Linked DNA regions of Macaca mulatta. The protein of the gene in region 3 interacts with the protein of the main gene of each other region in a pairwise test. Links are inferred from orthologs where the notes say so. Each region holds a gene or a part of one and is shown on either strand. Other genes may lie near its edges.

Region 1 (4,495 bases), about 4.1 Mb from region 3:
TTTAGATTACTCCTTCAAGACATCAACTCTTCTAAAGCCCAAACAGCCAGCAAAAGTTCTGGCTGTTCAGAATAAAGACAAAACATCAACCTTAACAAAGCCTCAGTACATCCCTCTTTGGGCTTAGTGTGCAGTGCTGGTCACTGCATCCTAAGAAAAAGAAGTGCCAGAGAATGGCAGGTAAAATGATTAAAAGAATACAGGGACTTTTTCTTTCTTTTTTTCCTGGGTTAAATGCCCATGAAGAAAATAAGATGAAAGTGTATAAAAGCATGAAAGATTCAGAAGAAGTAAAAATAGCCCTCATCATCCAATCCTATAATTCTAAAATTAGGGGACAAAAGAAGCTTGAAAATGGGAGTAATGTAGAAACCGTCGTTGGAGGACATACCCGTCGGGGGTCGGGTCTTTATGTATTCTCCAATATGTGGAAGTACATGTGGTAGCTGTAAATGGAGGGTGGCGGGGGAGTGGGGGACACGCAGCCCACCTCAACAGTCCTTCGATGGGACAAAAACCACTCTGGACTGGTGCCCGCTTTCCCTCTCTCCCCAAATCACCACGGAATACAACCACAGAAACTCAAAAACAGCAAAAAACACCGACAAGACATTCAAAGGATTCAAAATGCTAATATTAAATCTCATTGTCTGGGAAAATTAGATTGAAAATAAATTCAAGGGTGCAAGATTTATAACAGATTAACAAGGGAAATTAAGGATGTTGGTGGGGCCGGGAGGAGATACATCCTTAACTTTGTGATTCACACGATGGAGCTATACTGTGTCCTTCAAAGAAATCGTATTTGGTAATCTGAGTTGGACAGCTATGATAAACCATTTCCTATACACCGTTAGCATAGTCAGAAAGTGAGAGTTATGGATTGACATAGGGATTAGATCATTTGAATTTTTCACCCACAGCACAAGTCCTTCAATCGTTTTCAATAAACAGAGGGAGAGGGAGACTCTGATGAACCGTTGCTCACGTGTTGAGCAGTTAGCAATCCCGGGCTATCGGGTCCCTGCTGACCTTCAGAAAAACGAATGGACATCTAAACGGAACGAGGAAGGGAGGGTAATAACCAGAGTGTCATTGAGTTGAGAGATGTTAAAAATGGGCCACAACAAACACATGGGCCTTTACTTTTAGGTCAAATATTCCTATATATAAATACATAGTATGCTCTCTCTTGCCAAAAAATATTAGACTCAGGAACTTCATTCCTCACGAAGAAGATAATCCCCTCTCTTCCTTCCCATAGGTCCCTTACTTTACCTGCTTCTTCCCTCTTGCGGGTTAGGAACTTTGAGCCCCACCTCTCTGCTCGTCCAAGCTCCGCCTTCCCCGTCCACCTGTGTGCCCAGACCCTGACGTTACCCGTTGGCTTCAGCGGCCTGCAGGATTCCGGCTCCCGATTGGTCGGCCCGTCCACGGCTTGCGCAGCCCACCAATGGCAGCGGTGCTGGGTGGAGGGGTGCCCACATCCAAGATGGCGTCCCTAGGAGCTGGGAGCGGGTGACCGGCGGCGGGGAAGCGGCCTGGGTTGGCCCTCAGATTGCGGGGTCTGGGGGCATCTCGCCAGGCAACCCCTTGGCCCGCCTACAAGGCCTTCCCCCTGCCAGAGCAATGGCCGCTGACAACAGCAAGCAGTTTTGGAAGAGGAGCGCTAAGCTGCCGGGGAGGTGAGCCCAGGACGCTGAGAGGGAGAGGGTATTGGACCAAACCCTTCCAGATCCTAATCCCTAAATCCCGCGGCCCTGGGGCGCCACCGAGGCCGGAAGACTGGTTTGGGGCAGCTGTCAGGCAGAGGAGCGAACAGCGAGCTTTGGGGACGGCTGGATGTGGGTGTAGACCGGGGTCTGGGGGCGGAGGTTTCTGGAGGGGTGACCTCAGCGAGAAGGTGGCCGAAGATTGGGCGTAAAGGGGAGTGGAGTTGGGTGAGTAGTCAGTGTCGGCCCTGGTCTCGGGGGTTCCTCCCCAGAGCTGCTTCCCACTCTAATTAGGACTCCCTCTCAGGGGTCTCCACCACGCACAGGTGGTTGGTCGCTCGAGGATGGCTTGCTCCCCCAGCTCGGCACTTACCCGAAGGGTTCTTGTGGGAGTTTGGGGTCGCCTGCCGAGAGGGTTAGGCAGGAAAAGTGAGGACAATTCTCAACTCCGACCTTACTTTATCTTGAGTTGGCCTTTCCCACTGGGAATTATTACAAGGCGACCACAGAATCAGGTTATTCCTTTGGCATTTTCTAAGGATTTGTCCAACCCCAAGTGACTTCTTCCTCCCCTGTATTGTAATGCACTTCTTGTGCAAATGCACTAAATTCTTTCATTCTTCAGTTGTTTAGCTGGAGAGCAGACCTCCTAAGACTACTCCCACCCTCTTTGTGGTGTATGTTGAGACTTTTGGCAAATTATCCATTCATCAGTCTACTGTTGGTTTACTGTTTCAGTTTATTTTGGGCAAAGTCCTGAGAAGTATAAGGAAGAGTGTGTATTTCAGTCGTGAATCTAAGATTTCTGCCAGCCACAGTCTACTTGGTGATGAAATTCATGTTTGGTTGTGCCCCACGTGCTACCTTTTCTAATGGATTCAGGTTTTTTCTTTCTGGGATGATCTTTTGAACTCGTGACTTTTTTTTTTTTTTTTTTTTTTAAGCAAGAGGGAGATGAGGGTCAATAGTGGCTGAGTTAGAGCCTTACTTTTTTTTTTCCCCCCCCCCAATGAAATAGAAATAAGGTCTGACTATGTTTGGGCTGGTCTGTAACTCCTCGCCTCAAGTGATCCTCTTGCCTTGGCCTCCCAAAGTGTTGGGATTGTGGGCGTTAGCCACCATGCCCCACCAAGAGTCTTGTTTTATTAAGGATCCTAGTAGACATATGGAAAATAGGTGGAAATCAGCTTTTAGTAATACTTATTAAATAATAGAAAGATAACATCAGATTAAAGTGCTGCGGACTTGCGGTGTTGATATAACTGTTAAAGATGTTCTGTGTTTTTAGGTAAGCACCACTTCCTGCCAACTGATTCCTTTTCCTTCCTGGTTTAGTGAGCTCTCTAGTTGTGCTAACTGCTATTCTCCGGGGTTTTCCATAGTGAGATCATTAAATTTTGACATCCTAAGATTATAATCAGAATCAATAGGAAGACAGTTGTATCAGGAAGCAGTGCAAGAGATGTGGGACATGGCATGGGCTTCTGTGCCTTCTGACTGGTGGTTGCTATTAACAATCTTTTTTTCCTGTATTTCCTGTATTTGACTCTAAGAACAGTCAACTTTTTTAAAGCACTACTTTTCTGAGATAGGAAGAGAAGTCTTTTCAGTTTCTTCAAGCTTCTGGATTCCCTTTTCATTTCGAAGAATATAGAGAAATAGAGAACTTTTGAGTTCAGAAAGACTTGGGTTACTATTTGGGCTCTCCTGTGTGTGTGACCAAGACAAATAATCTATCTAGGCCTCAGTTTCCTTATCTATGAAATGAGAAATAAAAATACCTTCCTCAGAGTTACTGTGGGGACTAAGTGAAATACCCTATTTGTAAAGAACCTAGGACAGTGTTTATTTAGCACATTATAGTTGCTCAGAAGACAGTAGTTATTAATATTACTGTCATTATTAGAGCAAGTAAACATTTAAAAGAATGTTACTCAGATCCTTACCCCAGCTCATTGTCTTCCTTGTTTGTTTTAAGGTATTCAAATATTGTCACAATTCATAATAATTTTTAGTACCTTACTTGGTAAAGAGAAATATTTTTCAGCTGTGTGCTTTTAGCAGTAAAGCCCACAAGCCTCTGGTCGTGGGAGAAAACTAAGGTTCTTTTAGATAGAAAGGTACTTTGATTTAAAGAAAATATTAGAGCATTTTGTCAAGAATAGAACTTTTGCATCTGTACTCTTTCGGTCTTAGGGAAGAAAAACTTTCTCCTGGGTGGGGAAATGACACAAATGACTGTACTAGACGCATGGCAACTTGGAAATGAAACTGCTTTACTCTTCATTGCAAATTGAAAGGTGAAAAATCAAAGCGATGACAAGATTCTTTCTGTCTGATCATGATCCAACAACCTTAGTGACAACAAATAAAAATTTTATTACATAAAATAACAAGTTACAAATGAATGAAACATTCTTTTTAAAAATAACAGCTTTATTGAGATATTAATATACCATGAAATTCATTCTTTTAAAGTGTACATTTCAGTGGTATTTAGTATATTCATTTATAGTACAGATGGTTTTGTGCAACTATCGCCACTAATTTCAAAACATTTTCATCATCCCGAAAAGAAACTACATACCTGTTTACAGTCACTCCCCATCCACCCCACTCCAGACCCTGGTAACTACTAATGTACTTTCTGTTTCTGTGGATTTACCTCTTTTGGACATTTTATATATATGGAGTCATATGATATGAGTCCTTTTGTGAGTGGCTTCTTTTATTAAGCACAGTGATTTCAGGCTTGTCCACGCTGTAGTATGTATCAGTACTTC
Region 2 (4,534 bases), on a different chromosome or scaffold from region 3:
GGAAAGATTTCAGGTGATGCTGTTTTCTTCCCACTTCCTGGGATCACTGTCTTTCCTCTGAAATGGTTTTAATCAGAACCAATCTACTATACTCAGGAGCCTAAATCAAACACAACATGCAGAGAACCAAACAAGAAAGCAAAAAATGATCTGAGCCATTGAACAAGAAATATATACAAAACAATTTTAGGAAATTGCAGCTCTCACAACCTTTCACCATGGGGCCTTCTCTGTGGTTTAGAAAAAAAACTGCATTTATTTGTTATTAGGATGGGAAAGAAGAGAAAAATACCGACCCAAATAGCCCCTGGGGAAGAGGGAAGCTCTGATGCCAATGTGGAGGATGGAGCCAAATTGACTCAGGAAAAAAAAAAAAAAAAACTTTGTACTGGCATTTTCCACACAGTCCAGGTCACTTGGGAGCTTAGCCAGGGATATTTTGAGCATTCGACAACCTATTGTGAACAAGGTTGGGAACTATGAGGCGCTATGTGGCCCTGATCAAGCTCAGATGGGCCAAATCCTCAACCAAAATTCTCTTTCCCATAAATGTTTATCTCTACATTTCCCACAGAAGGGGATTCTAACTCAGTTTTGCTTCTGAAACCAAACTATCCAAGGCCAGGTGAGATGATTCACGCCTGTAATCCCAGCAACTTGGGAGGCCAAGGAGGGAGGATGCTTGAACTCAGGAGTTCAAGACCAGCCTGGGCAACATAACGAGACCCCATCTGTACAAAAAATTTAAAAATTGGCGTGGTGTGGTGCTGTGTGCCCCTAGCCTCAGCTACTCAGGAGGCTGAGGTGGGAGAATCGACAGGGCTGCGCTGACAAGAGCCAGACCCTGTTAAAAAATAAAAACAAAAAAACTCCTAAATTTGGAAACACATCCCCAGCTGGGGGCCAGGAGATAGTTCTCAGCCGTAATCCAGAACCCTCTAAAATGGGATGTGGAGAGGCTGCTGTCTGTAGTCTTGCGATGACCCTTCAGCATCTGGGCATCTTGAGCTTCTGTCATTCTGCCCACACCTGCTCAGCTCCATTCAAGAGGGCCGGGCAGTTTGGAGTGAAAGCTTAGCTTCCCAACGGGTAAATGAACCCGCCTCCCATTCACAGGGCGGCCTCTGGCTGGACACCTGGGGCCTACTGCCCCCTTGTTACACATTAACCAAGTTCTGGCCTCGATCGTAACTGCGTCAGGGAAGTTTCTTCCTGGCTGACAGCCTCAGATGATGACCGAAGACAATGTCTTTAACTGAGACGGGCCAGTGTGGCAAATGGACTGCTTTCCTCCCCAGTGCAGGCACCTTCCTCCTCTGTTCGGTAACTGGACCCCACTGTCCCCAGCCCTCTGTCACCCCCAAACCTGCCCACCGCCTGCCTCTACCCGGCCTTCCCTGAGGGAAATCGGGACTCAGCCCGCAACGCCCCCACCCGCCGCTCGCCCAGCCTCGGCGCACACAGCCAGGGGACCCAGCCCGCGCACGTGCTTCCGGCGCGCGCCGAAGTCCCCATGCGCCCCGCCCCCGCCTCCCCGTGCGCACGCGCGAACGCGGCGTGGGCCGGGCCTCGGGTAGCCCATCTCCTCTTCCTCCTCGCGGTCGCGGCCGGACGGAGGGTGGAGGTCCCTGCGCCTGCGCGGAGCTGGAGTCCGGCTGGGCCGCAGCCGCTGGGAGGCCGGCGGTTGCCGTGGGGACCGGTCGGGCCCCTCCCTCCTCCGGTCTCCCGCCCCAGGTTCTTCCCCAGCGAGACGCGCCAGCGGACCGCGGGCGAGTGCAGCCGGTGACCCGGCGAGAGGCGGCGCCGCTCCCAAGATGTCGCAGACGGCCATGTCCGAAACCTACGGTACGAGGCCCGGGCTGGCTGGGCGCGCGGATTGGGCCGCGGGGGGCGTCGCCGGCGCGGGGCCGGGCTTGGGCTGCGGGGGTCTTGAGGGTGGCGGTGGCGCCGGCCGGAGCCGTGGGACGGGTCTCGGAAGTGTCTGGGCCTAGGACCGAGATGGGGGACGCGGGCCGCAGAGAGCTCGGGTGGGGTAGCGGGTGCGCCGGGCGCGGGCGGGGCTGTGCACAGCGCATTGGAGTGATCCGCCTTTTCAAGTTTCCTCTTGCTCTTTCTCTGCGCCTGCACTGTTAGCGCTTTTCCCCTCTCAGTCTAATGTAAATAACTGAAGGTTTGGAAAGCCAGCTTGATGTTCCGTTTCAGCTGCTATATTATCCCCAGCGAGCCGTGTGAAGGGCTTAGGGCGACGCCTGTGTTCCTCAAATACTTAAGTTTGACCTTTCCTGGTTTGGAATTCCTTGCTTTACATTGGGATTACGGTGAGGAGTTTCTGATAGACTAATTCATCTCTTCCTCCGGAGACCTCTTCGTTTATTTCTCCCTCCCTCTCAGTGTTTTTTAGTCTTTTCTGAGTTGCATTTTGGCTATTTATAAACATGCCTTGTATCCTTAAGACAGTAAGCACCTTGGAAGCAAAGCCTTGGCTGTTTAATCTTTGTTTCCCCTGCAGCACCCAGACCTGGAGGTGCTCGACAAATACTGTTTTGAATAAGCGAAAGCTTTCCCAGTGCATATACTGTGTGGTGTTTTTTTTTTTTTTTTTTTCCTCCCCTTTTTTGGCCTTGCGTGGTAAGAATAAACAACTTGTACTTTCTTTCAGAGTTGAATATTAATAGATGTTTACCAGTCCCTAATCAGTCTTTCAGATGTGTGTATTCTCAGATTAAGACTTTGATTTGGAGTTTTACAGTCCCAGAGAGAGGCTCAAGTTCAAAATTACATACCTCAAGCCAAATTAGTCCTGTCTCCATCTGTCCTGGCGTGCTGCCTCCTTCTCGGCAACAAATACTGTGGAATGGCATCAGGGAAGCGGGCACCGTGCTGGGAGGGCTGTAAGTCCTGCAGAAAGACAGCAGACACGGCTCTAGTCTCATGGAGCGTACCGTCTATTGAGGGAATGCAGTATTCATCCAATTGTGATACTAATGAGTGAATAATTAAAAACCAGCCAAGAGTTCTTAAGGAGTGTGGTCCGTGAAAGTGTGTTAGAAAGAAAGGTGACCCAGACAGGGGGTGTCGGGGAGGCATTAGCCAGGCAACACACAGAACATCTCAGGCCTGTGGGAAGGGCAACTCAAGAAGGGTGTGTTTTGAGCACCACGCTGGAGAGATGGATGAGGAGACAGAGAGGAGAGGGCCTTGAGGAAGGCGTGAGTCTGTCTTGTAAGAAAAAATGGGAACTTTTGGAAGGGCTTCCATGCTGGGGTCACAGTGCCTTTGGTCCACCTTCAGTGAGTGACTCCTGTGACTGGTACTGCCCTGTTCTTGGTGACAGAGGGGCATGACATCTGTTCCTAGAAGGCTTAGGAAATCCTCCAGTAAGTCGATGCCTTCATCAGGACAAGTGTTTGCAAATGCTTCTGCAAATGGCAGTGGTCTGGTTCTTCCTGTAGAGACCACAGTCAGAAATGTAAGGAAAACATGCTCTTTAGCAATTTTTGGTTGCATCTTTGCACTTCTTTATTTTCAAGTGCTCTTTAGCCCACGCTGAGTTTCTTTAACCTGAGTAAGGAGCACAGAGCACAAGGGAAGGGTGGAATGTCCAAAGAAGAAAAGCAAGTGGGGGTCATGAATCAGTAAGAAAGGACCTTTTATGTTTCATTTTTCGTTTACACAATGATAACAACTGATAAAATAGAGCATATCTTTGGCATCTCCACTTCAGACACAGTTAACTGAACTTTTGAGCTTCACAGATTGATTGCATTCTGATCATAAGGCTTTAACCATTAGTATTCTTATTTCATGATAACTTCCAAGTATGTTTTTACTTTGCAATTCTGAATTGAATCTTTTCTTCTAATAGAGGAAATTAATCAAAAACTAGTAGAAACTAATAAATAGAAAATGAGGCCAGACGTGATGGCTCACGCCTGTAATCCCAGCACTTTGGAAGGCCGAGGGGGCAGATCACTTGAGCTCAGGAGTTCGATACCAGCCTGGCCAACATGGCGAAACCCCAACCCTATTAAAAATACGAAAAATTACCTGGGCATGGTGGTACGCTTGTAGTCCCAGCTACTTGGGAGGCTTAGGCATGAGATTGCTTGAACCCAGGAGGCAAAGGTGCAGTGAGACAAGATTGCGCCACTGCACTCCAACCTGGATGACAGAGTGAGACTCTCAAAAAAAGAAAATGGGCTTTAGAAGGAGCAAGCAGGACAGTTGAAGTTTGCCAAGCTGAAGTAAAAGTCACCTAGAACCAAGTCCTAGGCTGTCACTTGGACATATCAGTGGCCATATTTATATGGCATTGTTCCTTAAAAGTGAAACAGTCAGGCTCCCTTCTGGATATTTGCCTCTGAGCTGGTGAAGGAATGTTTGTCTAACCTTTAAACTCCTTTGTACTCTGTGCTCATTTGCTCTTCTGTAAAAGGAGGCTCTGTGTAGCTTGACAGAGGGATGAGGAAAAATCAAGGGCCAGTGCATGAAATGTACTGGGTTTTTGTTTTTTGTTTTTTTTTTTTTTTCAATC
Region 3 (3,528 bases):
GCACCTTTCCTCTTAGGCCTTAAAGGGGTCCCTGTGTCTCTCCAGTCTAGAGCCTAAGGTCAAACGAAGCGTATAGGCATGGGCAGCAGGAAGGCTCCAAGTCAAACAAATACATGACGTGGATGAATTTTGCCTCGTCTACCCCTGCCCCAGCGGTGTGTGTGTGGGTTGGCTGCTGCAGCCCAGGAGGCAAGGGACTGTGACAGCCACAACCAGAGGAGCTACGGAGCTGCTACAGAGGAGGGATTCCAGAGTCAGCTTGGGCTTGTCCCAAGGGAGCCCTCGAGATAGTGTCTGGGGCTGCGCGGCCTGGTTCTCAGCCCTTGCAGCATCTGCTTTAGCCAGGGGCCACCTTCCTCCTCTGGCCTGGAAGTAGCTAGAGGTTAGAGGTTACACCCGCCATAAGGGATATAAGCCCAGGAAGCAGTCAGAAAGGAAAGGTCACTCTAGAGATGGGGCCACCTTAAGGCCTTCAGGAGGAAGGAGAAAGGAAATGGGAGAAGTGTCATGTCATATTAAATATTTATTTTCTGCATACTGACTTGGGATTAATTCTTGAGCCAGGAGGGGCAGGGTTAGTGTTCAAATTGCTCAGATCTCAGGTCAAAAAACTACAGAAATCACTTTGAAAAACACAATGACAGAGGCAGTCACCCCTTGCCAGCAATTCCAAGAGCTCCTTCATGCCTCAAGACATGGTGACTAGTTGAGTGAACCAGAGATTGACGCAGTGACGGTTTTTACAGGGGAAGAAACAAGCCTTGGGTGTATGGGAGCAGGAAAGGAGGGTGACAGACTGGAGAAATGATAAAGGCCATTTTGGAAGCCCACAGGGAAGTGGTCTTGGGAAACCTGAAGACACTGGGAAATTTAGACGGCCAAGGAGATCCAGCTTATCCTGTTGGGCAAGGTGCTGGGAGGGAAGGCAGGTAAGCCATATTAAGGGCCTGGGAGGCAAGGGAAAAACTGGAAAGGGGACCGCCAGGTGAAGAAGGGTATGGAATGGGGTGCAGAAGTCCATGGAGATGACTGGCAGATCTCAGGGTGGTTTCCGGCACATCAGAAGTTGGGCTTATGCTTCTTGAGCTCCACCATAAGGTGGTGAATGTTGATGAGCTCAGCCCGGGCAGGCAGGGCTCGGAGCTGCGGCTGGGACAGCACCCGGTGGAAGCGATGATAGACCTGGATCAGCTGGGTCAGCGCTCCCTGGTCAAAGAAAGTCATTGAGGGATCAAACTGTAAAGTGGTGCTAATAGTGATGATTAAGAATCAGGTTAGGCAGCCAGGCGCAGTGGCTCACACTTGTAATCCCAGCACTGTGGGAGGCCATGGCGGGCAGATCACGAGGTCAGGAATTCAAGACCAGCCTGGCCAACACAGTGAAACCCCATCTCTACTAAAAAATACAAAAATTAGCTGGGTGTGGTGGCAGGTGCCTGTAATCCCAGCTAATTGGGAGGCTGAGGCAGGAAAATCACTTGAACCCGGGAGGTGGAGGTGGAGGTGGAGGTGAGCCCAGATCGTGCCACTGCACTCCAGCCTGGACAACATAGCTAGACTCTCTCTCAAAAAAAAAAAAAAAGAAGAATCAGGTTAGGGCTCATCCAGCACTTTGGGCACAGCTAGTAACTGAAGACCAAGGGTAACTTAGATGATGCTGAGCCCAGCAAAATGATGGGAGAAAATAATAAATGATGGGGTAACTTAGATGATGCTGAGCCCAGCAAAATGATGGGAGAAAATAATAAATGATGGGGTAACTTAGATGATGCTGAGCCCAGCAAAATGATGGGAGAAAATAATAAATGATGGGGTATCTGAGTGGGGGCTGGGACTTGCAGGTCACCTGAATGATACTGGTGCCATTTCTGAAGTTGGTGAAACTCCGCATTACATCCTGACTCAGAGATTCCACTGAGGATTTCCAGGAACTACCAAAGCCACGGATCAGCTGAGTTACCCGGGCTAACAGCAGGAGGAAAGGGAGTGTCAGAGACGGATCTGGCTGATCTTCAACTCCACTAAGTTCTCCCCAAGGTATAGCCATCCTTACCATCAAACCCTCTTTTCTGGTATTCTCTCAATCCAGTCTTTCATACTCTATTCCCCCACCATGTAATCTGCATCCTTTCATTTTTCTTTTCCACTTCCCTTACCACTGATCCCATCATTACCGCATTTTCCTCATACCTTCTTCCCCTCGAAGTCGCTCAGCCTGTCCACGCTCAATCAAAGCCTCAGCCTCCTTCACAAATGCCACTAAACCCCCAAAAGGGGGAGACAGCAACTCTTCAATGAATTCCTGGAAAGACAAACACATATACACAGGTGTCCTGGTGTCAGCAGATTTGCCCAATTCTGGCATCATGACTAATGTAGATCCGTGTGAATGGCATCTTTCAGCTGCTGCAGAAGTTAAGGAAAATTCTCTATGGAGAAAAATATCCTCAATCCTAATTTTGGCCCATACAATTCCCCTGGTTAAGATCAAACAATGAACTCAAAGATAACTAGACACAAAAGAAGGGCAGCTACCAAGAGAGTCAGCAGACACAATAAGCAATAGCTGCTGACCTTAGAACTATCAGATACAGATAGCAGTTGCACTGTTTGCAATGTCAGAAGTTAAGGATAGGCCAGGCACGGTGGCTCACACCTGTAATCCCAGCACTTTGGGAGGCTGAGGCGGGCAGATCACCTGAGGTCAGGAGTTCAAGACTAGCCTGGCCAACATGATGAAACCCCGTCTCTACTAAAAATACAAAAATTAGCTGGGCATGGTGGTGGGTGCCTATAATCCCAGCTACTCGGGAGACTGAGGCAGGAGAACCGCTTGAACTCAGGAGGCGGAGGTTGCAGTAAGCTGAGATCGCGCCACTGCACTCCAGCCTGGATGAAAGAGCAAGACTCTGTCTCAAAAAAAAAAAAAAAAAAAAAAAAAAAGAAAAAGTTAAGGATGTAAAAATGACCAATTAGTAAGAACTATTAGGAATGAACAGACTTGAAAAAAGGAAATTTTTTAGATACGAAAAGCCAATTTTAGAAAGTCAACAGATTAACAAGAATTATACAATGAACTAGAATTTATAACTGAAGAAAGGACTCAAAATGTAGCATAGACAGAAGATAGAAAATTCTGAGATAGTAGGAGATACAGAAATCTAATTAATGTATCTAGGCACTGAAATTGATGGCTACTAACATCACAAAGAGAGCCAAGAAGACATTATGCGCTTCCTGATGGAAATGCATACCACTACCTCTCAAATATCCCTGTAGAAAAAAAAAACTAAATCTGATCAAACCTTTCCATCTAATTACACATTTATGAGAAACACACCAGACAGAGGAACAGTTTGGCCACACCATGGAATGCAGTCAGCAAAATCTAAACTGTACATCATTCTAGATGACAAATGACTCAGTAACTCAGTTTCTTCCACAAATAAATTGCAGAAGAGAGGAGGTTAAGATGGAAGGGAAATCTATAGATTAAAAAAAGACACATATATGGACTTTATATGGATC
Region 4 (4,196 bases), on a different chromosome or scaffold from region 3:
AGGGCATAGTGGCAGGAGACCGTAATCCCAGCTACTCCGGAGGCTGAGGCAGGAGAATCACTTGAATACAGAAGGTGGAGGTTGCAGTGAGCCAAGATCGCACCACTGCACTGCACTCCAGCCTGGGTGACAGAGTGAGACTCTGTTCCAAAAAAATAAAATAAAATTCCTGATGTGTGAAAATTATGTGAAATTCACATTTCAGTGTATCCACAACTAAAATTTTATTGGAATACAGCCCATCCATGCCCATTCACTATAGCTGTTTTGGACCTGTAACAGCAGAGCTAAGTTGTCCGACAGAGACCCCTCCCACCGGCTCAAGTAGCCTAAAATATTTGCTACCTAGGCCTTTAGAGAAAAGGATGGAGACACATGACTTACGGAAGTGAGACAGAGAGTGAAAGGGTCTGCAATTTTCCATAAGTGGTCATGTCAGATTTCATTAAAAGGTGACATCTGAGCGAGTCCTTTCTGAAGGGTGTTACCTAACCCCACGGGGCTCCCGGCCTCCGCCCAGGGAAGCTCTCCAGCTCTTACCGAAGTAGTCAAGCCAGTTCATCTGGCGCAGCGCCTTGGGGAGCCGCAGGATCTCGATGTTGTAGAGGTTATCCACCTCCTTGAGGAGGTTCTGCCTGTCTGACTCAATTTGCTTGATTCGTATTTCCACTGCGGGAGGGCAGAGCCGACAGGACACGGGTCACGGGGCGGGTGAATGTGTGCAGCTCGTGTCCCCACCCGCCAGCATCCCGCGACCGCCCCAGGAGGCCGCGACGGCCTGGCCCCTTTACCTTCACGGTCGAAGTCTTTCAGAAAGGAGGCGAGCTTCCGCCTCCGTAAGGAGTTGATCTTGGCCACCCGACTACTGCCCTTCCTAGGAGCCATGGCGCTCGGCGGAGGCTGCGGGGAGCGGCGGAGATGGGGCAGGGAGGCAAGGAACCAGGTAGGGACCAGGAGGGCGGATGGGGACCACCCGAATAAGTCGCCAGGCACGTACCTCCGGTCTCGCGACAAGGACTGAGTAAAACCTCGCTATGCCAGTGAGAGAGAGCGGCTCTACCGTCAACCGCCACCTAATTCAAACTCCACAGCCACAGGCTGACGAATGAGAAACCGCCGTCCCACAGTATCCAATCACAAGCAAGTTCCTACCTGCCCGGGGTCTCCCGCCCAATGCGCTCCCTATAGCCGGAGTGCGTCAGCGCGGGCGCCGCCGTCGCGGGTGCTCCTGGGAGTTGTGGTCCAGGCTTGTTTCCCCGCCCTCCCCACCAACCCACCCGGCTCCGCCCTGGCCGGCTGCAAACTATACAAACTGCGACTCCCGGCAGGCCTTGCGGCGGGTCCTCATTACCCCAATCTCTGGAGGGCTAGGAGCGGGCTAGGTCAGGTCGGCTGTAGGATTCTGCTCCGGGGCCGGCGGCTGCTTCTTCCAGGCCTGGCTGCCACTGAGTAGCCGAGGGGCCGCCGTGACACTCTGACTGATTGACTGGTTGGCTGCCTACGTCGGCGCTCCTCAGGGCCCCAAGCTCCCCAGGCCGAACTTGGGGCAAGTGGAGGGTCGGCGGAGACAGAGCAGCCCCGACAGGGTTTGGAAGGGGTCGAGGCGGAATGACAGGGGAGCGGGGCCGGGGTGCAGGCTTTGGGGTGGGCGCGCCAGCCCGTGGCCAGTTTGGGCAGCGAGTGGGGAGAACCCTCTTGTTCCTCGCTTGCCCGCGGGGCGGCCACTCCCGTCCAGTTCGCGTCTTGGCGCCTCGACTGGGTGTGCAGCGCGGGGCCGCGACTTCAGGTGCGAGTAGTGGCGCTTGGCAGCTGCCCACGCGGTGACTGCAGCGTGAGCCGCGGCCACCACACTCCAGGGAGCCCAGGGCGGGAGGCAGCTCTGGGTGTTCTGGCCGTGGGCCTGGGAATGGGCGTGTAGACCTCGAACCCCGCTGAGCCGCAGTCCTGTCGGAAGTGCTAACTGTGCATCTTTGCATCTGCCCACAGCCACAGGGTTGGATTGCTCAAGGGTTGTGCTGAGACCCAGCAAGGCTAGAGGCTAGTTTCGAAGCTGTAGCTCAGGCTGAGTCTCAAGGCGGGCGACGACTGGACGGCCAGACCGGCGAGCTCTTGACAGGTTTGTGGCCTGATTGTTTGGATTTGGTGCTTTTCACCTGTGGATGCGGAATGAAGCCATGTCAGAGGGGTTGTTTGTGTTTAAGCGTGCATGTTATAGGCTATGGGAGTGATAATCTTGCCTCTCCCCCTCTGAGTTCAGGAACAATCAAAGAAATAAGCAAAGGTGCCAAGCAGGCTCCTGATGGGCACCAGCGAGCTTGGGGACAGAGCAGTCCAAGCATAGAAACCCTGGCAAGCCTGGCCCTTCCTAGAAAGTCCTTTCTCTCTCTCTTCCACCCTGGTTTGTTGCTCCATATACAAAAAATATTTGAATGTCGCTCTTCCGCCCAAGGTCAGCCCTGGGCAGTGGGTGGTGGGGGTGACACCCGAGTCTGCTGGGTGCCTAAGGATCTCCATCAGTTAGATGGCCAAGATGAGAGGGGACGACAACCCGTACCTCATGTAGGCTTTCCCGCAGCAGGTGTTTTTATGATGGGCAAATTGGGCTTCCAGCCTCTCGGTTTCAGGGTTTCCTTCACCCGACTCCCCAATGTGCCCGACCTCCCTGGGCACCTAGGATGTCCACCTGCATCTCAGCCAGAGCTGCCACGTCAGGAGCCCGTGATTCACTAGTTTTTGCCAGTTGGTTGTGATACACAATGTCAAAAGTGTCATTAAGGCACAGCCGAAGGCGCAAGCTGAGAGGAAAAGACTCCACAGTTAAGAGGACATGCCACCACTGCCACCCAATTTAAACTGCCGCAGGCTGACAAATGAGAAGTCGCCGTGTTTGGACGGTCCCAACATCCAGTCCCAAGGAAGCTTCAAGCCGAGTGGCCAATCCACATGTTGGACTACAGTACCCAGAAGTAATTTCGGTACTATGATATATTTTCGCGACTCAATAGCCTTGCAGGCCTGCGGAGGAGCTTTGGGGGCGGTCGCCTGTGAGCATGCGCAGAGAGACTATGGGCGCGTGGTGCTCACGCTTTGGGTGTCTTGACTTTTAAGTTTTTCCGCTGGTTTCAGGAACGCGACCGGCAGCCTCGGGCAGGGGAGACAGGACTGTAGGTCAGAGAAGAGACGGCGATTGGCCGCCGGGAATCCTCTGAAGCAGGAGACTGCCCTATCCAGGTTACCCTTCCCAAGGGGAAGCCAGGATCTCCTTCAGAAAGCTGAGGCAGGGCCGGGGCTGGTGGCTCACGCCTGTAATCCCAGCACTTTGGGATACCGAGACGGGCGGAAAACCTGAGGTCAGGAGTTCAAGACCAGCCTGGCCAACATGGCGAAACCCTGTCTCTACTAAAAATACAAAAATTAGCCGGGCGTGGTGGCGGGCACCTGTATTCCCAGCTACTCGGGAGGCTGAGACAGGAGAATTGCTTGAACCCGGGATGCAGAGGTTGGAGTGAGCCGAGATAGCGCTACTGCACTCCAGCCTGGGCGACAGAGTGAAATTCCGTGTCGAAAAAAACAAAAACAAAAAAAACCACTTCTGGAGGTGAGACAACTCCTGTGTGAACACGAGGACGGAAATGACGCCCACCCTCGACCCAGTGCCTCCCGGACTGACTTGCCACCCCAACGTGGTTATTTTCTATTTTTATCTTTTTCAGCAGAAGATGACTCAAGACCGGCCTCTGCTTGCCGTGCAGGAGGCCCTGAAGAAGTGCTTCCTGGTGGTGGAGGAGCAGCAGGGCCTGTGGCAGAGTGCCCTGCAGGACTGCCAGCCCCTCCTGTCTTCCCTCAGCAACCTGGCGGAGCAGCTGCAGGCCGCACAGAACCTGCGGTTCGAGGATGTGCCGGCGCTTCGGGCCTTCCCAGACTTAAAAGAGCGGCTGAGGCGCAAGCAGCTGGCTGCTGGTGACATCGTCCTGGACAAGCTAGGGGAAAGGCTGTAAGCAGCTCCATAGTGCTCTTTCCTGGTGGAAGGATTTTAAAACGAGGTGTTTTATATGTAGCTAGTATCAGTCCAGAAGGTGTTTTTCTCCTTGAAAGCGTGGCATTTGGAGGTATCTCAACCTTCCTCACTTACCATCTGGGGCAGTGAGACCTCTGTCAGAAAGCCATTTTCTGGCATTTTCCTTGTCAGAGACTAG
Region 5 (3,739 bases), on a different chromosome or scaffold from region 3:
TGTATTTTTTAGTAGAGACGGAGTTTCACCGTGTTAGCCAGGATGGTCTCAATCTCCTGACCTCGTGATCCGCCCATCTCGGCCTCCCAAAGTGCTGGGATTACAGGCTTGAGCCACCGCGCCCAGCCTAATTTTTGTATTTTTAGTAGAGACGGGGTTTCGCCATGTTGGCCTGGCTGGTCTCGAACTCGTAGCCTCAACTGATCTGCCCATCTTGGCTTTCCAAAGTGCTGGGATTACAAGCATGAGCCACTGTGCCCAGCTATATATATTTTTGTGTTTGACACAGGTTCTCACTGTATCACTCAGGCTGAAGTGAGTGCCTTGCTGTGGTCACGGCTCGCCACAGCCTTAACCTCCTGGACTCTAGTGATTCTCCCACCTCAGCCTCCCATGTAGCTTGGGACCACAGGCATACACCACCATGCCCAGCTAATTTTTTTATTTTTAGTAAAGACAAGGTCTAACTTTGTTGCCCAGGCTGGTCTCGAACTCCTGGGTTTAAGCAGTCCTCCTGCCTCAACCTTCCAAAATGCTGGGATTACAGGCATGAGCCACCGCACCTGGCCCCCTCATTAATTTTCTAAGGTTAAACTATTCTTGTAGTCTTGAGCTAAATTCTAATAAGTTGTGTTGGCTTAGGGGTTTTTTGTTTCGGGTTTTTTTTTTTTGGTAGTTTTTATATCGCTGGGATAAATTTGCTCTTATTTAATATTTTTGTATTTGTGTTTGTAAGTGAAATCCACCTAAAGTTTTCCTTTGAACTGTCCAATTTGGTTATCAAGGTTATACTCATAAAATAAGTTGGTTAGTTTTCACTGTCTCTCTTTGTTCACTAGAATTGTTTATATTTGTAGGCTGGGTGCTATGACTCACGCCTGTAATCCCAGCACTTTGGGAGGCCGAGGTGGGCGGATCTTGAGGTCAGGAGATGGAAACCATCCTGGCTAACACGATGAAACTCCATCTCTACTAAAAATACAAATAATTAGCTGGGCATGGTGTAGCGCATGCCTTTAGTCCGAGCTACTCAGGAGGCTGAGGCAGGAGAATTACTTGAACCCAGGAGGCGGAGGTTGCAGTGAGCCGAGATCATACCACTGCACTCCAGCCTAGGCGACAGAGTGAGACTCCGTCTCAAAAAAAAAAAAAAAAAAGAATTGTATTTATAACAGATTACCTACTCTTGCAGGTTTGATAACACATAAGGTAAAGGAAAAGAAGGTAGAAATAAGTAAGATTAGAATATTGAGTCATGTGGTAATATGTTATAAAGGCTGCCGTGGAAATCCCAGAGGGAACTACAAGAATGCCTGAGCAGCATTTTAGTTTTATGTTCCTGCAGAAATCATCCTTACTATGTGGTGGGCACTGTTACAAATAATTTGTTTAAGGGTATAGTTGAGGTGGGATGCCATGAATTTGTGATGGATGCAGTCTGCCTTTTTGCGGGGGACTTTTTTCTACTGTTTCACTGCCTGCCTTCCTCCACTTCATTGTACTCAAGGTAAGCCTCATTATCATCAGTGTTGGCTTTCACAAGGAGGCAGTCTCGTGACTTGGCCTTTGTAGGAAAACACTATTAGATGAATAGATGGTTGGGTAGTGGCTCTTTTCTTCTCCTGCTTAGACTCTTGTCTACTATGAATAAAGGGTTCTATTTGCAAAGGCCATAATGGGATGAAGCACATTGAGAAACAGGCTACTGAAACATAGTTATTTTTCTCACCCAGGTGAGATTTCAATGGAAAAAGTGAAGGTAAAGCGTTATGTGTCCGGAAAGAGGCCAGACTATGCCCCTATGGAGTCCTCAGATGAGGAAGATGAAGAATTTCAGTTCATTAAGAAAGCCAAAGAACAAGAAGCAGAGCCTGAGGAACAGGAGGAGGATTCATCTAGTGACCCCCGGCTACGGCGTTTACAGAACCGTATTAGTGAAGATGTGGAAGAGAGGTAATGTCTGTGATTGTGTTTTACTTGAACATGAACCTCTACAGCTTAATAATAATAGCTAATACTTGAATAGTACTGCCAAGTAGCTGACATTTGCTAATTGTTGTAATCCATACAATAGCTTTATGAAATAGGTGCTATTATCCCCATTTCACAAAAGAGGAAACTAAGAGCACAAAGGGGCTAAGAAAGTTACATGACCAAAGTTACAAAGTGGCAGCTTCAGAAAACAGCAGGTTACTTCTGGCCTAAAGGACCTACTCAACTCCTTACGGGAATAGAAAACACAGACCATTCGTTGGCTGTTGAGGGGAGTCTTTTTAGCACAAAGATGTTTTATAAACTTTGGTAAATTGATTTTATACATCTGCTTATTCTAAATGCTAATAAGGGGAAATGACACTGAAGCAGGAGAAAAGACCTCATAAAGGTCTCATTGTAGAAAGTCTCCCAGTGAGGGATTTTGTATGTTATATACTGATTGAGACATTACCTTAATAGAGCAGACCAGGGGTCCTGAACTTTCACCGTTCATAATTGTCCCAGGGGTTTTTTCACAGAGCTCCTGGGCCAAAACAGTTCTGTTTATTTTAGTTAGTAAGTAGTTAGAGCCAAGTAACTTAATAAGTATTTATGTCCTAATAACTTTGCCACTTGAAAATTACAGTGCCCATGGCCGGGCGCAGTGGCTCACACCTGTAATCGTAGCACTTTGGGAGGCCGAGGCAGGTGGATCACGAGGTCAGGAGTTCAAGACCAGCCTGGCCAACTTGGTGAAACCCCATCTCAACTAAAAATACAAAAAAATTAGCCAGGCATGGCAGTGGGCACCTGTAATCCCAGCTACTTTGGGAGACTGAGGCAGAGAATTGCTTGAACTTGGCAGGCGGAGGTTGCAGTGAGCCGAGATCATGCCACTGCACTCCAGCCTGAGTGACAGAGTGAGACTCCGTCTCAAAAAAGAAAAAAGAAAAAATAAATAAAATTACAGTGCCCATGGGGAAAAAAACACTTTTATTCATTCTCACATAACCACAGTTACTAGTGGAATTTGTGTGCCTATTGGACACTGACAGCCTTGCAGACCTTGGAATCAGCACTGTCACTTTTTCATGTCTTGTTTTATATTGATATTCACACTGTACTTTTTACCACAGCAGCCACCAAAACCCAATTTCACGAAGATACGATATTCTCAAAAGGAATGTAATATGACTTAATGTTGAAACTGAATTACCTTGAGCTATTGAAAATATCCCAATGCAGGCCACGCTCGGTGGCTCACGCCTGTAATCCCAGCACTTTGGGAGGCCAAGGCAGGCGATCACCTGAGGTCAGGAGTTCAAGACTAGCCTGGCCAACATGACGAAACCCCCTCTCTAGTAAAAATACAAAAATTAGCCGGGTGTGGTGGTGCACGCCTGTAATCCCAGCTACTCAAGAGGCTGAGGCAGGGAGAATCGCTTGAACCTGGGAGGGGGAGGTTGTGGTGAGCCGAGATCACGCCATTGCTCTCCAGCCTGGGTAACAGAGTGAGATTCTGTCTCAAAAAAAAATCCCAATGCATCCCTATGAGTTTGCTGGCTTGCTGTGGTGCCTTAGGATGCCTCAACATACGTTTAGTATTTCAGGCCAAACTTGGCTATTTGCTCTGATATCCTAGTCTAGTTCCTTTAATCTGCACCTCAGTTTCCCCCACCTCAATACTTTAATATTGGATGGACATGGTGGCTCACATCTGTAATCCCAGCACTTTGAGAGGCTAAGGCGGGCAGATTGCCTAAGT
Region 6 (4,479 bases), on a different chromosome or scaffold from region 3:
CAGAAGATATAAGTATCATTACGTCTATATTACAGACTAAAGTTTAAGGAGATTACATAACCTGGAAAAGATCACCAAGTAAATGGTAGGGTCTGGCTTTGAATCTAAACCCTCTGGTTCCAAAGTCTCACCTCTTAACCACTACTCTACACTCTCTTCAAAAAACAATACACTAAAACGTTAACAGAATTACTCTAAGTTTCACTTTTTTGGTGTGTGGATTTGTGTTTTTGACCGATTGTAAGGCTTATGTATAATATAAGCATTTTTTTGTTGTTAAAACTAGAATTATTCCGTCTTTATGAAGACAACACTATGATCTCCACGAGCACAATCATCCAAATGCAGATGGGAACCCCTGTTCTAACTCTCTGAGGCCTGAAGTTAGTTTTCTAGCACTCTCTCTCACACGAGGGAAATGCGCTTACGGCCACTTCAAAATCTGCAGTAACCTGTGTCTGTTTATTAGGGACCTCTTGGGCGTGGGTAAGACAATATTCTTTCCCTGCAGCTCGAAATAAGGGAAATCAACGGATGACCACTACCGGAACAGAGTTCAGATTGCAACTCATGAGATCTCTCAGTTCTTTCCTTCAGTGAATTCTTCCGAGCCCTTCTCAGGTGCAGCTTTGAAGGTTAAAACGAGACACTGGGACCAGTGGGTCCCTAAGACGCGGCAGCACGGACACAGGTGTGCTTCCCTGCTCGGTGGTGCTAAGGACCAAATTCTGAAGCCTCCTTAGAGACCAAGGGTCTACCCATGGGGTTCACCAGGCCTCCTTTCCCGAGGATCGGCCCTTGACTCAAAGAACTGGGGCGGGAGAAAAAAAGTCGCTTTCTAGAAGCCGCCCAGTCACACCGCCACTGTATTCCCCTCTTTCCCTCCGCGGCTCCCCACACGGTCCCGGGGAGAAGAGCTTCCAGTCTCTTCCATGGACACTCAAAGATGCCGAGCCTCGGTTCCCAACCGGGAGCGGCCTCCGCGGCCGGGCTGCAGGTACTCACCGTCGTTCTCGTCGCTGTGCCGCCGCCGCGACATGCTGCCCTCCGGTGCGCCGCGGAGCCCAGAAACCAGGCGGTAAGCGCCGAGGAAACTGTCCTGCCGCTGGCCGGCGCAAGGACAGCTGCGAGGCGCGCGGATGGGCCGGCACGCAGGCGCACTCGCTCGCCACGGCTCCCGGAAGCTCAGGAGAGGCCGCCGGGTGGGCTCGGCGCTGCTAGAGCCGGCGTGAGGAAGCTCAGTGGGCTACGGGCGTCGGGCACACACGCAACCGCCCCCTCAGGCTGCCCCCGCCTGCCGGCTGCTTCTTTCTCCCGCCTTCCGCTCTGTGTCCTTCCGGGGCCACGCAGAAAGTGCCGCCGTTTCGGCCAGTCAGAGACCCCGGACCGCTGTCGTCGTACGCCTGAAGGCGGGTGGTGCCGGCGGCCGCTCTAGTCCCCGCCTCCGCTCAGGCCGGTCCTCCGGGGCTTCTCAATGGTTTTCCCGGCGGCCCTTGCGCCGACGTCCAGGAGACTTCCGGAGCCTGGTGACGTCACGAACGAGCTTTTCTACCCAAACACGCGACGGGGAACACACTGCAGGGCGGTGAGCGGTAACAATTGCTAGGTGGAAACAGTGCAGGGAAGAGAGACCTAAGAAAGGATCAGGACTGGCGGGTATGTGCTCGTCTACTCCCACTTTCTGGCTTTTGCCGCCTTGGGAAAAGTGGGCGGAGAGGTTGGGCCAAGCTCGGCATGCGGGGTGGGGCCTGGGCGGGAGGCGGTGCCGCACGTGCCTCCCCCTGGGTTGGAAAGGCCGGCCCTGACGCGAGCGTGCTGCTCCCGGCTTGCCGGCTGGCTGTCATTTTCCCTAAGTTGTTTGCTTAAGAAGGAACAAATGATTGTTTTAGTAATCAAGGGTTATTGGGTACCTGTATGCCTGTGTGTGACCGTCCCCTGCCCTGATGTCTTTATGAGTACCATACTGGCTTATCTGCTTTGTCCATGGCCATCTGAAATTTCACTCTCCCGGCCTAATTCTCTTTCAGTCTTACCCATTTCAGTAAATGACGTCATCCATCGGCTGCTTAATCCAAAAATTTAGAGAGTCTTTCTTAGCTCTTTTCCCTCACTTTTTACATAACAATGATCTGTAAACCCTGCCTGTTCTCCTTTCAACACAAATCCTGAATCAGATCGTGTTACTGCTCTGTTTAAAAGTCTCCTGTGACGGCCGGGCGGGGTAGCTAACGCCTGTAATCCCAACACTTTGGGAGGCCGACGTGGGCGGATCCGCTTGAGCCTAGGAGTTCAAGACCCATCTGGACAACGAGGCGAACACTGTCTTTACAGGGAAAAAAAAAAAAAAAAAAAAAAAAATTAGCCGGGCCTAGTGTTTGGCTCCTGTAGTCCCAGTTACTCGAGGGGAGGGTTGGGGGCGGAGGTGGGAGGATCCCTTGAGCCCAGGAGGTCGAGAATACGGTGAGCCGTGATCACACCACTGCACTCCAGCCTGGGGGACAAAGCGAGACCGTGTCTTAAAAAAAAAAAAAAGTCTCCTTCGACTTTCCATTGCACACTCCATACCATGGCCTGTGGAGTTCTACCTCTCCTCACTGTACTCCAGACCCTCTTTCTGTTCGTACAATAAGTCAAGCTTGTTCTTATTTTAGGAACTTATACTGTTTCCTTTACCTGAAGGTCTCTGGTTCTAAATCTGCGTGACTGGCTCTTGGTCACTTAGGTCTCAGCTCAAATATCAGGTCCTTAGTGAGGACTTCTTTGGTTACCCAATTGCTGTTTTATTTCATTCAGCGAATATTGTATTTATTAGCATTTAGCACCTCGTAGGTGCCAGGCAGAGTTCTGAATGCTGAGGATGTCGAGGTGAACAAAGGAAAACCACTGCTCTCGTGGCGCTGATATATTCTAACGATCCATTCAGGAATAGCCCCAAATAGTGCCATCATAGGTAGTGAACAATGGGAGACTAGTAGATGAGATCAGAGGGGTAGGGAGAAGGTGCTCTGTAAGGACTTTGAACATTATCCAAGTAAATTGAGAAGTCATTGGAGTATGAATTTTTTTTTTTTTTTTTGAGACAGAGTCTCGCTCTGTTGCCCACGCTGAAGTGCAGTGGCACAGTCTTGGCTCATTGTAACCTCCACCTCCTAGGTTCAGGCAAGTCTCGTGCCTCAGCCACCTAATTAGCTGCAATTAAAGACATGCGCCACCACACCAGGCTAATTTGTGTATTTTTAGTAGAGATGGGGTTTCGCCATGTTGACCAGGCTGGTCTTGAACTCCTGGCCTCCCAAAGTGCTGAGATTACAGGCATTAGCCACTGTGCGGGGCCAGTCTGACTTATTTTTTAATAGTTACCTCTCTGGCTCCCAAAGGAGGAAGATAGTTCTGCTGTTACAATAATTCAAGCTGCAAATGATAGTAGCTTGAACTAGGGTGGTAGTGAAGATGATGGTGCAAAGTGATCTGATTAGATTGTACTTCAAAAGCAAAGCTGGCCAGGCATGGTGGCTCATGCCTGTAATCCTAGCACTTTGGGAGTCCCAGCTGTACTCCCAGCTGCTACTTGGGAGGCTGAGACAGAAGAATCACTTGAACCCATGAGGCGGAGGTTGCAGTGAGCTGAGATCATGCCACTGCACTTCAACCTGGCGACTGAACGAGACCTGTCTCAAGAAAAAAAAAAAAATAGGATTTTCTGAACAAGTGAATGATAGTGTGAGAAAATAAGGAGTCAGGAATCATCCCAAAGTTTTTTTTTGTCTGAGTAACCGGAAGAATAAAATTGTCTTGTACTCAGATAAGGAAGACTAGGGAAGACCAGAGTTTGGTTTTGAACAGTTGTATTTGAAGCTGAAGCTAGCTAGCTTCACACGCAGTGGGGTATGTGAATTTGTAGTTTGGGAGAAAGGCCCAGGTTGAAGATATGAATTTGGAGTCATTTATTGTATAGTATTCTAAACATAAAATTTCCTTTATGTTTCCCTTTTTTCTTTTTTTGTGTAATTTTCAAATATTTACAAAAGTAGGGAAAATTTATGATGCATCCCCATGTACTCATCAACTTCAGTAATTCTTAATTCATGAATATTCTGGTTTCGTTGATATTACCTCCTCTCACCCAATTATTTTGAGGCAAATATAGTTTTAAGTCCTTGGAAGTAGATGAGATCACCTGTGGGGTAAGTATAGATATAGAGTAGTTCAACATTTAGAGGTTGGGGTAATAAGGAAGACCCAGCAAAGGAAACTGAGAAGCAGGGACCCTTATCCCTAGCTGGTATTTTCTTTTTTTTTTACTTACTTAATGTCTCTCCTTACCAGAATATAAGCTCCAAGAGGGCAGGGACTTCAACTGTTTCATTCATAGCTGCATTCCCAGGACTATTCCATGGGCCTGGCACATAGCAGAGGTGCCACAAATAATAATAGTTCAGAGTATATACGTAAATGAAAATAAGCTGAGACTGAAAAAAG
Region 7 (3,739 bases), about 140 Mb from region 3:
CAAATGTGTATTTTAAGTTATAATCTTTCACCTGATGTATTTTTAGGGGACTTTACATAGAATAATTTCCATAGGCAAAAAATTAAAATAAGCAAACCAAAAGACTTCATTAACTCTTAGGTAATTAATTTTTTTTTTTTTTTTTTTTTTTTTTTTTTTTTTTTTTTTTTTTGAGGCGGAGTCTCGCTCTGTCGCCCAGGCTGGAGTGCAGTGGCCGGATCTCGGCTCACTGCAAGCTCCGCCTCCCGGATTTACGCCATTCTCCTGCCTCAGCCTCCTGAGTAGCTGGGACTACAGGCGCCCGCCACCTCGCCCGGCTAGTTTTTTGTATTTTTTTTTAGTAGAGACGGGGTTTCACTGTGTTAGCCAGGATGGTCTCGATCTCCTGACCTCGTGATCCGCCCGTCTCGGCCTCCCAAAGTGCTGGGATTACAGGCTTGAGCCACCGCGCCCGGCGGTAATTAATATTTTAAACTTTGCTTTTTTCCAGTGGGTTGTCAGCATTTTTAGTAAATATAATGTTGATTTTTGTTTGTTTTTTTGGTAATTTTGGATTGTAAAGTAAAATGTATGTAGCCCCTTTAAGATCCAGATTTGGAGACGTAATCAAATGGCCTCAATTCCTAAATGAATAACCTTAGTTATTTTTTAATTGACAAATAATTTTTGTACATATTCAAGGACTACTAGTGATGTTTCAATACATATAATGTGTAGTGATCAGATTGGGGTAATTAGCATATTCATCAAATAGTTTTTAATCTGTACTTTTTCGAGAAAGTTTTAAGATTTTTCTAGAGAATTTCAGGATGAAAGAGGGGAGGACTTAATGAAAGAGTTGGTAAATCAAGTGAATGGAGGGAGTTTTCCCCCACCTTCTTATGTATGTTTCCTTTGATTTGGTTGTAATTGTTTCTTTTGCTTTGCACAGACTCAAATCCAGTACCTCAAGCAAGTCCAGCAGCCGAGCGTTGCCCAACTGAGATCAACAATGGTAGACCCAGCGATCAACTTGTTTTTCCTAAAAATGAAAGGTGAACTGGAACAGACTAAAGACAAACTGGAACAAGCCCAAAATGAACTGAGTGCCTGGAAGTTTACGCCTGATAGGTAAACAAATCATACTCCCCAGTCAAGACTTCCCTGACAGTCCCACTACGAGAAAGCTGTGGTGGGACAGCCAAGTACTCGTTTCCACACCAAGACTCAGACTTTTTGAGCCAAAAAAAGCCACATTCTTACACTGTCCAGCTTGTAATGGTTAATGTAAAACTTACCAGATGAACCTTGTGTTTCAGCTTTTTTCTTTTCCCCTTCCCCTTGCTTCAGAGGCCTGATGGCGTCGGACTATTCCGAAGAAGTGGCCACCTCCGAAAAATTCCCCTTCTAGAACATGTAGACACTTGAGAAATGTTTCTGTTTGAAGAAAATAGAGGGAGAAACAGAAGTCTTAAGTCTGTGGCACACTGTGTCTTCAGACAGTTTGAAGGAATGAAAACCTAGAGATTTTAAATCATGAATTGAACATGTAAAATTCCAGTAAAATGTAAAAATGGAATATGCATCGCTCTTAACCTTGAGCATAGTGACTTAGAGACACTGTGTATCAGTTTTGCCAATAAGACTGTGGACTTCATGATTGTTGTTGAACTTCTGGGTCAAAACTCAAATGAGGTGAATTTTGCCTTTAAAGGGTTTATTTGCTGAGAACCAACTTTTAATAGTCACGAGAGAATCAAATAATAGATGTCCGTACAAGTAGCGCATATATTTAACCATTTAGTTTGGGGCTCTATATTACTTGCTTGAGCCTTAATCAATGTGGTTTTATTCAATGGTTTGTTCTTTGAATGGTTGCAAAACTGTAGATTATCTTACTGAGGACTGTACAAACGTGAAGGTGTGGTATCAAACTTCAGGTTGAAACTGTTTGAAGCATTATAAACATTCATTTCACAACTAGATTGTATAAGGATATTAGCTGTGATGAGACTCACTGCATTATTTTTTTAGTGAATTTTATGAAATCCCCATTCCATTCAACAGGCACATGTTTAAAAGAGCATTGTCGTTGGTGTTAATGGGGGAATGTGTTCCTTCATTGTATTTGGGCCTTTTGTATTGCACTCTTGATATTAAATTAAATGTGCCTTGAAATAGTTGGTTTTTTTTTTTTTAAGTTCAAAGAATATTATGATGATTTTGTTGTACTCTAACATTTTAATTTGGGGGGGGGCCTGTGGAGAGCAGATTCATTTTGGAAATACTGTTGCTGTGCTCTTCAAAGTGAAGGAAAAGGCGCTGTGCCTCATTTTTAAAAGACCTACATAAAAGACAAGGAGACTTGACACTGGTTACTTTTATGACACTTTGTCCCAGGGTACTGCAGTAGAAAGTAATTGCGGGACAGCTTCACAGGGTGCCTGCCAGAAGATAATGTGTTGGAACTGTGGGCTGGCCTAAGTAAGACATTTTGTGAATTGAAAAAAGGTATAGTGATCATTTCTAGTAAATTCATTTAATCATTTAGATAAATGAGGCATTATTTTCTTCATGCTTCCATCCAATCCTGGAGGTGAATTTTTTCCGTCAGATCATTCTATAAGTCACCAATTCAAATTTTCGCTTGGTGATAATGGAGTCTAAGATGAGTGGAAGATAAATGTTCCAGCTTGTCCCAACGTTTAAGTGCAGTTTTAACAAGGGTGACTTAAGTTCTCTCTTAATCATTCAAATCAATTGTAAGTATCTTATATATGTTTGTGCTTTAGGGAACTGATTGTGGGGCAGAGGGTGGGTTGAAGAAGTGGTTTGTGTGACTTTTCAGCAAGAAACCTGCTTCTAAAATTCTCACTATTTGTGAGGGTTGGAGGGTAAGTAACCGGATCTGTTTGAAATTAGCTTATGTGATTGCATTAACGCTTTTGTATATATTTTATGCCATTTTAAGTTCACAGTAGAAATGGCCTAAGTATCTTTTTAGTAGAATTTAGTAGAAAAGTAATTCATAAAATGTATTATTAACATGTACTCAAATTTAGCAGGCATCTTTCTTTGCCACTTAGATAACAGTCATGAGTTCTATGGGTTTTTTTCTTGTCATTGTTAAAATTTTCTCTTTTAATAATAAGATAATACATGCTTGTATATAAAATTGAAATACTATAGAGAAAGGGGGAGATGAAAAGTGAGTGTCACTCTCTGATGTTACCTGGACATCCTCATTCTGTTCTCCAGGAGCAGTAACTGCTATTACTTTTTCTTGGGTATCATCAAGATAATTTCTATGCATATACAGTCATTTTATGTATATTATTTTAAACAAATGTGATCATACCATAAACACAGATGAGTTGCACCTTTTTTTTTAGTTGGTCTCTTCGGCATTTTTCCATTTTTTAGTGTATCTAGACTACTACATTTTTAATGGTTGCATAGTGTATTTCCATTATATTAAGGAATCATAATTTATTTAAATCACTTATAAATTGATTTTTTTCTGTAAAATTGGCTGTAAGCCAGAGTATATCAGGTACTATAAATACATCACTAATTTGAAACAAATAATGGCTCAGGCAATCCCCTGTCTGGAATATTTCCAGTAGTGGAATGGGTTTTGCTTTGGGGTGTGTGCGTGCGCACGTGTGTCTTCGCTTTACTGTTTTTTTGTTTTAATTTTGAGGAAGAAAGATTCTCAGAAATAACCTGTCCAGTTCAGTTAAAATATTTCATTCATGTG

What was found.
Region 1: the proteins of VPS52 (region 3) and TBC1D22B interact in binary tests that used the Homo sapiens proteins (3 or more experiments, as listed by UniProt). The link is inferred for Macaca mulatta from reciprocal best matches to the Homo sapiens genes VPS52 and TBC1D22B.
Region 2: the proteins of VPS52 (region 3) and RAB4A interact in binary tests that used the Homo sapiens proteins (3 or more experiments, as listed by UniProt). The two-hybrid records come from large-scale screens. The link is inferred for Macaca mulatta from reciprocal best matches to the Homo sapiens genes VPS52 and RAB4A.
Region 4: the proteins of VPS52 (region 3) and AIRIM interact in binary tests that used the Homo sapiens proteins (3 or more experiments, as listed by UniProt). The two-hybrid records come from large-scale screens. The link is inferred for Macaca mulatta from reciprocal best matches to the Homo sapiens genes VPS52 and AIRIM.
Region 5: the proteins of VPS52 (region 3) and MFAP1 interact in binary tests that used the Homo sapiens proteins (3 or more experiments, as listed by UniProt). The two-hybrid records come from large-scale screens. The link is inferred for Macaca mulatta from reciprocal best matches to the Homo sapiens genes VPS52 and MFAP1.
Region 6: the proteins of VPS52 (region 3) and TSTD2 interact in binary tests that used the Homo sapiens proteins (3 or more experiments, as listed by UniProt). The two-hybrid records come from large-scale screens. The link is inferred for Macaca mulatta from reciprocal best matches to the Homo sapiens genes VPS52 and TSTD2.
Region 7: the proteins of VPS52 (region 3) and WTAP interact in binary tests that used the Homo sapiens proteins (3 or more experiments, as listed by UniProt). The two-hybrid records come from large-scale screens. The link is inferred for Macaca mulatta from reciprocal best matches to the Homo sapiens genes VPS52 and WTAP.

The regions. Positions count from the first base shown.
Region 1 is NC_133409.1:144,980,875-144,985,369, reverse strand, and holds the start of TBC1D22B (TBC1 domain family member 22B), read left to right. Parts: upstream 1-1,483; 5' UTR 1,484-1,629; coding exon 1,630-1,685; intron 1,686-4,495. UniProt on the Homo sapiens protein: May act as a GTPase-activating protein for Rab family protein(s).
Region 2 is NC_133406.1:19,774,637-19,779,170, reverse strand, and holds the start of RAB4A (ras-related protein Rab-4A), read left to right. Parts: upstream 1-1,618; 5' UTR 1,619-1,814; coding exon 1,815-1,845; intron 1,846-4,534. UniProt on the Homo sapiens protein: The small GTPases Rab are key regulators of intracellular membrane trafficking, from the formation of transport vesicles to their fusion with membranes.
Region 3 is NC_133409.1:149,037,776-149,041,303, reverse strand, and holds the end of VPS52 (vacuolar protein sorting-associated protein 52 homolog), read right to left. Parts: intron 2,303-3,528; coding exon 2,191-2,302; intron 1,966-2,190; coding exon 1,847-1,965; intron 1,207-1,846; coding exon 1,060-1,206; 3' UTR 506-1,059; downstream 1-505. UniProt on the Homo sapiens protein: Acts as a component of the GARP complex that is involved in retrograde transport from early and late endosomes to the trans-Golgi network (TGN).
Region 4 is NC_133406.1:203,101,091-203,105,286, forward strand, and holds the start of AIRIM (AFG2-interacting ribosome maturation factor), read left to right. Parts: upstream 1-1,333; 5' UTR 1,334-1,586; exon of another isoform or gene 1,587-1,786; intron 1,787-1,985; exon of another isoform or gene 1,986-1,986; 5' UTR 1,987-2,116; intron 2,117-2,610; exon of another isoform or gene 2,611-2,862; 5' UTR 2,863-2,870; coding exon 2,871-2,975; intron 2,976-3,028; exon of another isoform or gene 3,029-3,598; intron 3,599-3,713; coding exon 3,714-3,994; intron 3,995-4,196. Other genes in the region: CDCA8 (borealin), read right to left, coding at 541-669, 792-885. UniProt on the Homo sapiens protein: Part of the 55LCC heterohexameric ATPase complex which is chromatin-associated and promotes replisome proteostasis to maintain replication fork progression and genome stability.
Region 5 is NC_133412.1:21,198,435-21,202,173, reverse strand, and holds part of MFAP1 (microfibrillar-associated protein 1), read left to right. Parts: intron 1-1,733; coding exon 1,734-1,953; intron 1,954-3,739. UniProt on the Homo sapiens protein: Involved in pre-mRNA splicing as a component of the spliceosome.
Region 6 is NC_133420.1:60,767,612-60,772,090, forward strand, and holds the start of TSTD2 (thiosulfate sulfurtransferase/rhodanese-like domain-containing protein 2), read left to right. Parts: upstream 1-1,540; 5' UTR 1,541-1,656; intron 1,657-4,479. Other genes in the region: NCBP1 (nuclear cap-binding protein subunit 1), read right to left, coding at 1,006-1,039.
Region 7 is NC_133409.1:12,259,964-12,263,702, reverse strand, and holds part of WTAP (pre-mRNA-splicing regulator WTAP), read left to right. Parts: intron 1-931; coding exon 932-1,110; intron 1,111-1,329; coding exon of another isoform or gene 1,330-1,390; exon of another isoform or gene 1,391-2,157; intron 2,158-3,739. UniProt on the Homo sapiens protein: Associated component of the WMM complex, a complex that mediates N6-methyladenosine (m6A) methylation of RNAs, a modification that plays a role in the efficiency of mRNA splicing and RNA processing.